3 linked regions of the Macaca mulatta genome follow. The protein of the gene in region 3 interacts with the protein of the main gene of each other region in a pairwise test. Links are inferred from orthologs where the notes say so. Each region holds a gene or a part of one and is shown on either strand. Other genes may lie near its edges. The genes, in order: WBP11, ELOF1 and C6H5orf22.

Evidence for each region.
Region 1: the proteins of C6H5orf22 (region 3) and WBP11 interact in binary tests that used the Homo sapiens proteins (3 or more experiments, as listed by UniProt). The two-hybrid records come from large-scale screens. The link is inferred for Macaca mulatta from reciprocal best matches to the Homo sapiens genes C5orf22 and WBP11.
Region 2: the proteins of C6H5orf22 (region 3) and ELOF1 interact in binary tests that used the Homo sapiens proteins (3 or more experiments, as listed by UniProt). The two-hybrid records come from large-scale screens. The link is inferred for Macaca mulatta from reciprocal best matches to the Homo sapiens genes C5orf22 and ELOF1.

The regions. Positions count from the first base shown.
Region 1 is NC_133416.1:17,239,748-17,243,497, reverse strand, and holds the start of WBP11 (WW domain-binding protein 11), read left to right. Parts: upstream 1-1,168; 5' UTR 1,169-1,277; intron 1,278-3,171; 5' UTR 3,172-3,216; coding exon 3,217-3,280; intron 3,281-3,750. UniProt on the Homo sapiens protein: Activates pre-mRNA splicing. May inhibit PP1 phosphatase activity.
Region 2 is NC_133424.1:12,293,132-12,296,868, reverse strand, and holds the end of ELOF1 (transcription elongation factor 1 homolog), read left to right. Parts: intron 1-1,954; exon of another isoform or gene 1,955-2,140; intron 2,141-2,362; exon of another isoform or gene 2,363-2,363; 5' UTR 2,364-2,380; coding exon 2,381-2,496; intron 2,497-2,646; coding exon 2,647-2,717; intron 2,718-2,917; coding exon 2,918-2,982; 3' UTR 2,983-3,144; downstream 3,145-3,737. UniProt on the Homo sapiens protein: Factor involved in transcription-coupled nucleotide excision repair (TC-NER), a mechanism that rapidly removes RNA polymerase II-blocking lesions from the transcribed strand of active genes.
Region 3 is NC_133411.1:32,904,715-32,908,364, forward strand, and holds part of C6H5orf22 (UPF0489 protein C5orf22 homolog), read left to right. Parts: intron 1-1,880; coding exon 1,881-2,078; intron 2,079-3,650.

The sequences.
Region 1 (3,750 bases), on a different chromosome or scaffold from region 3:
GTTTTACCTGGTTTATCAGCTTTAACCTACCAGATCTTGTCATTGCTTTCCGACACTGAAATTCAATCTAAAATCAAATCAAGAATTTCCTAACACAAAGGTAAGTTTAGGTATAGGACCGATCATATTACCTTCAAGGGCAGTTTAAAGATTCTGCCAAAAATTAATATGTATCTCCAACAATATTTTGAAATATTTATAACTGGTGGTAAGAATAGACTTCCTACAAGGGATAGTCTGGTTAAGATTAGAAATAACCAAGCGTACCCTCTAAGATAGTTTTTTAAATGTTTAAACTTACCTTTAAGGGAAATAAGTGGGGGCTGACTCAGGGAAAGAGGGGATAGTAGGTAAGGAAAGGGCAAAGGCTAGAGTTAAGTGAATAATCCTGTACGTAGAGTGACATCATAGAGGACTTTTGGCTGGTGAATAGACCAGTAGGGAATACGGCCAATATATATCAACCTTGCCACTCATAAACTTAAAACCGACTGCATATGTATCCCCGTATTTCTTCTTCAGAACACTACTAATAAATAAATAATAAATCACCGCCCGTATAAGCAATTTGCGACTCTAATACGGGTGCTGATTTATTTGTTCAGGTGGTCTACAAATGTTCTGTTCTGCGCGTCTATTAAATTTCCACACGTACCAGACGCCCACATGGGATAACCTGATGCTTACAAAGCGGATTAAACTCAGTAGCAAATGTTATCTGGGTATTCGTTTACAAACGGAGACACCCCTAAAGGATCGCACCTGCTTGCGTCATAAGAAACATAAAAATCCAAAAACTAACGTAATTCCAAGAGACACAAAACGCGGAACGCTTCTGCATCTGCAGAAAGTACCGTTCTCGGACAGGTCAACGCATTACGCCCCCAGCAACTAGGTCAGAACGCCTCCAACTTGAGAGACAGGACCGTCAGCCAATCAGATAGCAGCTATCTTCTTTCAATTCCTATTGTACTAGATGAGCGCAATGAGGCGGGCTCTTAGCCGACAACCAACCAATGGAGTATTGTATGGGACCGGAAGAGACTCTGGTCCTGGAATTCTTGAGTATTCTCTATGGTTCTAGGGCCGAGCTGCGCTAAGAGACAGCGGGACAGAGGAATGGGAAATGACGTAAGGATTGCGGAGGGGCGCGAGGTTTCAAGATGGCGGTAGCTGAGGGGTAGACCGAGAGGCCGAGTTGAAGGCCCTTACGAAGTGAAAGAGGCCGGGAATCGCCCCCTGCCCGCTTCTCGTAGTCCTGGGAGCACAGCAGAAGTGTGAGTGTATGGAGTTGCTCTACTTCTTTTCCTCATCTCTTTCGTCCCTTCCACGGCCCGCGCAGTGGCTTGGGGGACACCCAGTCCCTTTGCCCCGCTCCTCCTCTCCCCGGCTGGGGTCTCCCGGTTGCGGACTGGGGTATTCCAGGGCCTGGGGTGGCGCGGCGACCAGTGGTTACGCGGTTGGCATCGCCCGGGGCGGTTGGGGCCGCTTCCTATGCACGTTGATTGGTAGCCTTAGGTTTGACGTCTTGTACCTCGAGTCATGGTCGGTCAACCGTCACTATGGTTTCGGCAGTTGCTGGTGTTGCCTCCTTTGGTGGACCTGGACCCTATCCCATTGAAGGTTTTTTGGCTATTTACAGTTCCCCAACGGTTATTTGGCTTGATTTTTCCAGTCGCCCCCGCTTGTAGACAAAAAACTAATCTTTGCAGACTTAAGCTCCCGTATCTTCCGTAAAATTCTCTGTAATTCGTATCCGTTGTGTTTCATTTGTGGGGGAGGAGATTCAGAACATGAGCCCGCTTGAGAAAGGAAAGCACGAAAAACGCAGGCAATCAAAGATGGGAGAGCTTGTATTTGTACGAATTTTGCATGTTTTCTTCCTTCCCTACCTCCTACTCCCTGCTGCTCTCCCACCCACACCTCCACCCCCCAGTTTTTCTGAGAAGGAAACCACTTGACAGGGTGTATGGTAGCTAGGGCAGGAATATGGATCCATTATAAAGATTATAGTTAAATAGTGAGTCAAACATCACAAGATATTTTATTTGTAATCCCGTTGTATCATCAGAGCTTTGTTATAAAGTAATTGATGTCCCCATTTTTTAGATGAGGAAGCTAAAAATCAGAGCCTTTGACACCACCGTCTTGAAGTAATTGCCACCAGAACAGCTATGAAACATCTAGCTTTCTGAAACATCTGGCTTTCGGGGCAATTGGACACTTGGCGAAAGACACATTAACTGTAACAAACTGGTCTGAAAATCTTCCCTTTCTTCCCTTTAAAAAGTGTCTACTTGCAAAAGGAAACAAATTTGTCCACCTTTGTTACTGGAAAGAATGCTTCAAAAAATTAAGCCCCATTCTTTTGGAATAAGAGGAAGAAGTCATGTAATAGGGTATTGTGTTAATAAAAGTTTTAGCTTACAAAATATTTTTTCCTCAAACAAGAATAAGTATTCCCTTTAGTTACCTTAAGAAATATATATTGGGAGTCAGGTATTAGAAAAATATGTGTCTTAATATTTAAATTTTGGGGAGCTCTCAGTGTAGCACTAATTTCAAATACTTGCATTTTTAGTTGTGTTTTGAACTCTTGAGAGTCAAGCATTATATCTGAATTAAATATGCTTAAATGAATGAGTTTTTAGTGTCTTAGAAGTGTTGAGAATGTACAGCATACATGCCAAGAAAAACCATGGAGCGAGGCAAGGGTGAGGTGTTTGTTTTGAGCCTAGATCCATTACCCCCATTCCGTTCGTATTCTTCTTTTACAATTACGTGTTAATAAAGGGAGGTTATAGAAGAAGGACTAATGAATTCTGATGTTCATGGTTTGTGCCATATCGTTAAAGCATTTTCTAGTTGTTTTTTTATCAGTTGACAAAGTCAGTGCTGTGATCCATAAGAAAAAAGATAAAGTAATGACTTGAGGATATTCAAAGTGGTCTTCACACTCATCACATTTCCAAAGAATGATGGAGATCTAAATTTTCATGGTAAAGAAACTTAATGCCATCTTTCTTGGACATTAAAGTCAAAACTAAGGAAAGAACAGTCTCACAGAATTTCTAATTAAAGGAATTTTTTTTTCAGAGATTGGTAGGGACTAGAAAAAGGAAGAAATAAATTTAGGAGATATAAGCTATTTCTTTGTCTTCACCTTCACAGGTTTTTCTTTTTTTAATGAACAAGTAAACCATACAAATTGTCAACATGGGACGGAGATCTACATCATCCACCAAGAGTGGAAAATTTATGAACCCCACAGACCAAGCCCGTAAGTGTCCATTAGTGTGGAATGATGAAGTAGGAGAGTGTTAAAAATTGCACATATTAGGGAATTTATTTCTCTGTGGCTTAATTACAAGACCAGCAGTGATAGGAGGAATAAATTGTATATTCAGTGTTTGGATGGGAACATTAAGACGTTAAACATGCAAATAAATTAGTACCCATATTTTAGTTTTCAGATTTGATTGACTTGCAAAGTAGAATTGGCTGAAAGTTTTCTTTTTGTATTTGAAATTTTGAGCAAATTAGTTTTGCGAGCCCTTGTTTCGCATTTTATGTTATCTTTTTCTTTCAGATTCATAGTTGTTTTTTATGGAACATTAAACAAAAATGTCTTGACATTTTTGGTTGTCATAATTAGAGGGATGCTCTTGGCATGTAGTGGATAGAGGCCAAAGATGCTGCTGTTTTACAGTGCATACTGTAACTTCCCACAATAAAGAATTACCTGTATGA
Region 2 (3,737 bases), on a different chromosome or scaffold from region 3:
TGGTGGCTCACACCTGTAATCCCAGCACTTTGGGAGGCCGAGGCGGGCGGATCACGAGGTCAGGAAATCTAGGCCATCCTGGCTAACACGGTGAAACCCCGTCTCTACTAAAAATACAAAAAATCAGCCACACGTGGTAGTGCACACGCCTGTAGTCCCAGCTACTCGGGAGGCTGAGGCAGGAGAATCGTCTGAACCAGGCAGGCAGAGGTTGCAGTGAGTCAAGATCACGCCACTGCACTCCAGCCTGCGCAAGACTCCATCTCAAAAACAAACAAACAAACAAACAAAGAGTTGGGGGTGTTACATAGGAAGTGATCAGCAAATAATGAATGAAACTCCACTGTTTATTCTGGAAGATCCTGGCAGACTGCTGACCTCCCCTGCCACAGAGGAACGATGCTAGAACCAGCAGTCGTGTGTGTGTGTTGGAGGAGGCGCCATAGGAGGCTCAGGGATGGCAAGCACAGTGCCCTGAGCACCGTGCCTAGCAGGGGAGTTGGGCTCGGTGGTAACTGCTGCTGTTTCCCCACCCACCTGCCTCCTGGACATCTGTTCCTAGATGTCCCTCTGCCACCCAACCCCATCATTTTCTCCAAAACCCTGTCCTTCCTCTATGTTACACATCAGAGAATGATGCCATCTTCTCCCCCTAGCCACTGTGTCCCCACCACAAACCTGGGAGTCATCCTGGACTTTCCTCCTCTCGTCATACTCACTCGCTCCGCTGCCACGTCTCCTCTGTCTCTCTCGCCCTCTGCCATCTCTACCCCAACAACCCTGTCCTGGCTGTGCCTTTGTCTTCATCCAGATTGTGACTCACACCGCAGTCCCTCAAAAGCCCAGGGTGACTTTACCCTTTCACTCCTTGTAGCTCCCAGGATCCATCCAAACACCCAGAACCCTCCCACCTGTCCCTCCTCTCTCCTCCACCTGCCAGGGGACAGACAGCTGCCCCTGAGCCTTCACATAGTGTTCCTCTACTCGGAGGTGCTTGTTCCCACTTCTCTGCCCTGTAGTCTGTCATCTGGATGGAGGCCATCAGATGCCCTGAGTGTCACTCTTCGTGGATGGTACTTACATGTCCCTTGACAAGAGGAGCAGCCAGTATAAAATCACCAGCTCCTGGGCTCTTAGGCTCCACCCGGCCCTGAACAGCTGGCTTGTCTTGGAGTCTCTTGGGCCACCTTCCCCAGGAACAGTGGCTTCCTTGTATTGGCGCCAGCGATGATGGGCCAGCTCTGTGCTAAGTACTTACCATTCCTGGTGTCAGCCTCACAAGTCTCCTCTGCGATAGCAACCTTATTTCAATCTTTTTTTTTTTTTTTTTTTTTTTTTTTGAGACGGAGTCTTGTGCGATAGCAACCTTATTTCAATCTTTTTTTTTTTTTTTTTTTTTTTGAGACGGGGTCTCGTGCGATAGCAACCTTATTTCAATTTTTTTTTTTTTTTTTTTTTTTTTTGAGACGGAGTCTCGCGCTGTCGCCCAGGCTGGAGTGCAGTGGTGTGATCTCGGCTTACTGCAATCTCCGCCTCTCGGGCTCAAGCGATTCTCCTGCCTCAGCCTCCTGAGTAGCTGGGGTTATAGACGCCTGCCACTACGCCCAGCTAATTTTTGTATTTTTAGTATAGATGGGGTTTCACCATGGTGGTCAGGCTAGTCTCGAACTCCTGACCTCGTGATCCACCCGCCTCAGCCTCCCAAAGTGCTGGGATTACAAGCGTAAGTCACCACACCCGACCTTTTTTCCTTTTTTTTTTTTTTTTTTTTTGGATGCAGGGTTTCATCCTATTGCCTAGGCTGGAGTGCAGTGCCTGGATCATAACTCATTGAAACCTGAAACTCCTGGGCCCAAGTGATCCTCCCTTCTCAGCCTCCCAAGTAGCTGGGACTACAGGCTTACACCACCATGCCTGGCTAATTTTTAATTTTTTTTTTTTTTTTTTTTTTAAGAGATGATGCCTCACTCTGTTGCCCAGGCTGGTATCCAGCTCCTGGCATCAAGTGATCCTCTCACCTTAGCTTCCCGAAGTGCTGTCTGGAATTACAGGTGTGAGCCACCATGTCTGGCCTTGTCTCTGTTTTATGGATGAGGAAACGGTGGCACAGAGAGCTTAAGTAACCTGCCCAGGTCATGCAGTAAGTGAGAGAGACGGGGTTGGAACCTCCGCTCACCCCTTCCATCCAGAGTGGGACAGGGGATTTTCCTCCTGTATCAGGACTGAGGGCCTCATCGCTCAAGGGCAGAGGCCCCCAGACCATAGTGCAAGTCCCAGACCCTCTTTCCGGCCTGCTTTCTAGAGCATTGAGCGGGGGGCTGCGTGGTTTCCTCAAACCACTGACATCTGCCACTCCCCACAGGCTCATCCACCTGCAGACATGGGGCGCAGAAAGTCCAAACGAAAGCCGCCTCCCAAGAAGAAGATGACGGGCACCCTCGAGACCCAGTTCACCTGCCCCTTCTGCAACCACGAGAAATCCTGTGATGTGAAAATGTGAGTGGGGAACGGGGCAAGGGATCCATCCTCCCCACCACCTCCTCCCCGCTGTTCTCCATCCTGCCCCTTGCCTCCCTTGGTGAAGGCGTCATCACCCACAGGCCCCGGGCACATTGCTCACCAGTCCCTTCTCTTGGTCTGTTTCAGGGACCGTGCCCGCAACACCGGAGTCATCTCTTGTACTGTGTGCCTAGAGGAATTCCAGACGCCCATAACGTGTATCCTTAGAAACCTGGGCTTTTTCCAGAGGATGGGGAGGGGGCTGGAGTCCGGACCCTGCTCCTCTGGCCCACTGTGTGCCCTGGTGCAGGGCCAAGGCCGTCCAGAGGAACAGGTGCCACCTACTGATTTATGTGGGGTGAGAAGGTGCAGGGCAGGGTTCCAATGCCAATGATCACCCTTGACCTAAGCGGCTCAGATCTGTCAGAACCCGTGGATGTGTACAGTGATTGGATAGACGCCTGCGAGGCAGCCAATCAGTAGCAACACAGAGGACCCACCCCCTGAGCAGCCCCGCCTACTGTGGACCCAGCTGTTCGGTTCTGGTCCAGAGACATTCCAGGGGTCCAGGGTGTGGGTCCTGGGCTGTCACAGCCCTCTGTGTGTGTGTGTAGAGTGGGCGTGGGTGTGAGTGGGTGTGTGTGCCAGTGTGGAGTGGATGTGGGTGTGTGTGTGGCTGCACGTGTCACTGGGGTGGCCGTGAGTGTGTGCTCATAGATACGCAGTGATGGCGGGTTCCTGGGCCTGAGGGGCCTGAACTGACCTCTCTTGGCTCCAAAAGCCTTTGCTGTGTTCCCTTCTTCAGCCCCTGGCCTCCCAGCTTTGGGGCTCTGGCTCCCCCCCGGCAGAAGTGGGGGGCTGTTTCCTGATATCCTGAACAAGGGAAGCCCAGTAGAGGCTGGAACTGGACCTCTCCAGCCTCCTCACCAGCACCGTGCCCATCTCAACTGGACTTCCCGCCCTCCTTCTCCACCTTCTAGTGCCCGTGGCCTGGGATTCAAAGCCACCGTTCCCCAGGTCCCTGGGCTGGGCCCTGACAGGGAGCCGCCACCCTCCCCATGCTAACAAGGAAGCCCAGTTTCGTGTTCAGTTTCTTTTGTAGAGGAAGCAAGGGCTGGGGTGGGGACAGCTGTCAATCACAAGCCCTTAAATAAAGCAGCCAGCGCACATCCCTTGCTGTCCGTGATGTCTTGGGTTCTGCGTCTGCCTCGTCACCAGAAGAAGGAGAGGGGACCTGA
Region 3 (3,650 bases):
GGCCTCACAGTCATGGTGGAAGGTGAAAGGCATGTCTCACATGGTGACAGACAAGAAAAGAGAGATTGTACAGGGAGACTCCGGTTTTTAAAACCATGAGATCTCATGAGACTCATTGACCATCATGAGAACAGCACAAGAAAGACCCACCCCCACAATTCAATCACCTCCCATCGGGTTCCTCCCACGACATGTGGGAATTGTGGGCGTTACAATTCAAGATGAGATTTGGGTGGGGATACAGCCAAACCATGTCATTCTACCCTTGGCCCCTCGCAAATCTCATGTCCTCACATTTCAAAACCAGTCATGCCTTCCCAACAGTCCCTCAAAGTCTCAACTCATTTCAGCATTAACTCAGAAGTCCACAGTCCAACATCTCATCTGAGACAAGCCAAGTCCCTTCCACCTATGAGCCTGTAAAATCAAAAGCAAGTTAGTTACTTCCGAGATACAATGGATGTACAAGCATTGGGTAAATACAGCCGTTCCAAATGGGAGGAAGTGGCCCAAACAAAGGGGCAATGCAAGTCTGAAGTCCATCTTCAGTCAAATCTTAAAGCTCCAAAAAGATCATATTTGACTCCATGTCTCACATCTAGGTAACTCTGATGCAAGAGGTGGGTTCGCATTGTCTTGGGCAACTCTGCCCCTATGGCTTTGCGGGGTACAACCTCCCTCCTGGCAGCTTTCATGGGCTGGTGTTGAGTGTCTGCAGCTTTTCCAGGCACACGGTACAAACTGTCAGTGGATCTACCATTCTGGGGTCTGGAGGACAGACAGTGGCCCTCTTCTCACAGCTCTACTAGGTGGTGCCCCTAGGGACTCTGGGTGGGGATCCAACCCCACATTTCCCTTCCACGCTGCCCCTAGCAGAGGTTCTCCATGAGGGCCCAGCCCCTGCAGCAAACTTCTGCCTAGGCATCCAGGTATTTCCATACATCTTCTGAAATCTGGGCAGAAGTTCCCAAACTTCAATTCTTGACTTCTGTGCACTCGCAGGCTCAACACTAACTGGAAGCTGCCAAGGCCATCTGAAGCCATAGCCCGAGCTCTATATTGGTCCATTTTAGCCATGGCTGGAGCAGCTGAGACACAGGACACCAAGTCCTAGGCTGTACACATCACTGGGACCCTGAGCCCTGCACATGAAACAATTTTTTCCTCCTAAACCTTCAGGCCTGTGACAGGAGGGGCTACCGCAAAGGTCTCTGACATGCCCTGGATACATTTTCTTTATTGTCTTGGGGATTCACATTTGGCTCCTCGTTACTTATGCAAATTTCTGCAGCCAGCTTGAATTTCTTCTCAAAAAATGGAATTTTCTTTTCATTCACATTGTCAGGCTGCAAATTTTCCAAACTTTTATGCTCTGTTTCCCTCTTAAAACTGAATGCCTTGGCCAGGTGCAGTGGTTCACGCCTGTAATCCCAGCATTTTGAGAGGCCAAGGCGGGTGGATCATTTGAGGCCAGGAGTTCAAGACCAACCTGACCAACGTGTCGAAACCCCTTCTCTACTGAAAATACAAAACTTACCTGGGTGTGGCAGGACACACCTGTAATCCTAGCTACTCAGGAGGCTAAGGCAAAGAATCGCTTGAACCTGAGAGGCAAAGGCTGCAGTGAGCCGAGATGGTACCACTGCATTCCAGCTTGGGTGACAGAGCAAGACTCCATTTCAAAAATAAAAAATAAAAATAAAAAAACTGGATGCCTTTAACAGCACCCAAGTCACCTCTTGAATGTTTTGCTGCTTAGAAATTTCTTCCACCAGATATGCTAAATCATCTCTCAAGTTCAAAGTTCCACACATCTCTAGGGCGAGGGCAAAATGCCACCAGTCTCTGCTAAAATATAACAAGAGTCACCTTTGTTCCAGTTCCTAGCAAGTTCTTCATCTCCATCTGAGACCACCTCAGTCTGGATTTCATTGTCCGTGTCATTATCAGCATTTTGGTCCAAGCCATTCAACAAGTCTCTAGGAAGTTCCAAACCGTTCCACATTTCCCTGCCTTCTTCTGAACCCTCCAAACTGTTCCAACCTCTGCCAGTTCCAAAGTTGCTTCCACATTTTCAGGTACCTTTTCAACAGTGCCCCACTCTACTGGTACCAATTTACTGTATTAGTCTATTTTCACACTGCTGATAAAGACATACCCAAGACTGGGCAATTTACAAAAGAAAGAGATTTAATGGACTTAGTGTTCCACGTGGCTGGTGCAGCCTCACAATCATGGCAGAAGGTGAAAGACACGTCTCACATGGCAGCAGACAAGAAGAGACAGCTTCTCTGCAGGGAGACGTCTGGTTTAAAACCATCAGATCTCTGACCGGGCACGGTGGCTCACACCTGTGATCCCAGCATTTTGGGAGGCCGAGGCGAGTAGATCACCTGAGGTCAGGAGTTCGAGACTAGCCTGACCAACATGGAGAAACCCCATCTCTATGAAAAATACAGAATTAGCCAGGCGTGGTGGCGCATTCCTATAATCCCAGCTACGTGGGAGGCTGAGGCAAGATAATCGCTTGAACCCAGGAGGTGGAGGTTGTGGTCAGCCAAGATTGTGCCATTGCACTCCAGCCTGGGCAACAAGAATGAAACTCTGTCTCAAAAAAAATGAAACCGTCAGATCTTGGCTGGGCGCAGTGGCTCACGCCTATAATCCCAGCACTTTGGGAGGCTGAGGCAGGCGGATCATGAGGTCAGGAGATGGAGACCATCCTGGCTAACATGGCGAAACCCCGTCTCTACTAAAAAATTAGCCAGGCGTGGTGGCAGGCACCTGTAGTCCCAGCTACTCTGGAGGCTGAGGCAGGAGAGTGGCATGAACCCGGGAGGCGGAGCTTGCAGTGAGCCGAGATAGTGCCACTGCACTCCAGCCTGGGCGACATAGTGAGACTCCGTCTCAAAGAAAACAAAACAAACAAAAAAAAAACCCCATCAGTTCTCCTGATATTCATTCACTGTCATGAGAACAGTGCCGGAAAGATCTGCCGCCATAATCACTTCCCACTGGGTTCTCCCATGACACATGGGAATTGTGGGAGTTACAATTCAAGATGAGATTTGAGTGGAGATACAGCAAAACCATATAATGAGCAAAAGAATATTTTGGTGAAACCTGAGCAAATCCAAGACTTATACTGTTTTGTTTAACTTTTTTTTTTTTTTTCCAGGAGCATACATTCAAGTTACCCTGAGTAAATGCTTCCAAGACCTACATTTTTTTTTTTTTTTTTTGGAGACGGAGTCTCTGTCTGTCGCCCAGGCTGGAGTGCAGTGGTGTGATCTTGGCTCACTGCAAGCTCCGCCTTCTGGGTTCACGCCATTCTCCTGCCTCAGCCTCCTGAGTAGCTGGGACTACAGGTGCCCGCCACCACACCCAGCTAATTTTTTGTATTTTTAGTAGAGACGGGGTTTCACCGTGGTCTCGATCTCCTGACCTCGTGATCCACCTGCCTCGGCCTCCCAAAGTGCTGGGATTACAGGCGTGAGCCACCATGCTCAGCCAAGACTTACATTTTTTAAAAAATGGTATTTAAGATTATTACAAGATACTTAAGGTTTGAAAATATTTTGAGGCCAGGAACAGTGGCTCACACTTGTAATCCCAGCACTTTGGGAGGTCAGGGCAGGTAGATCACTTGA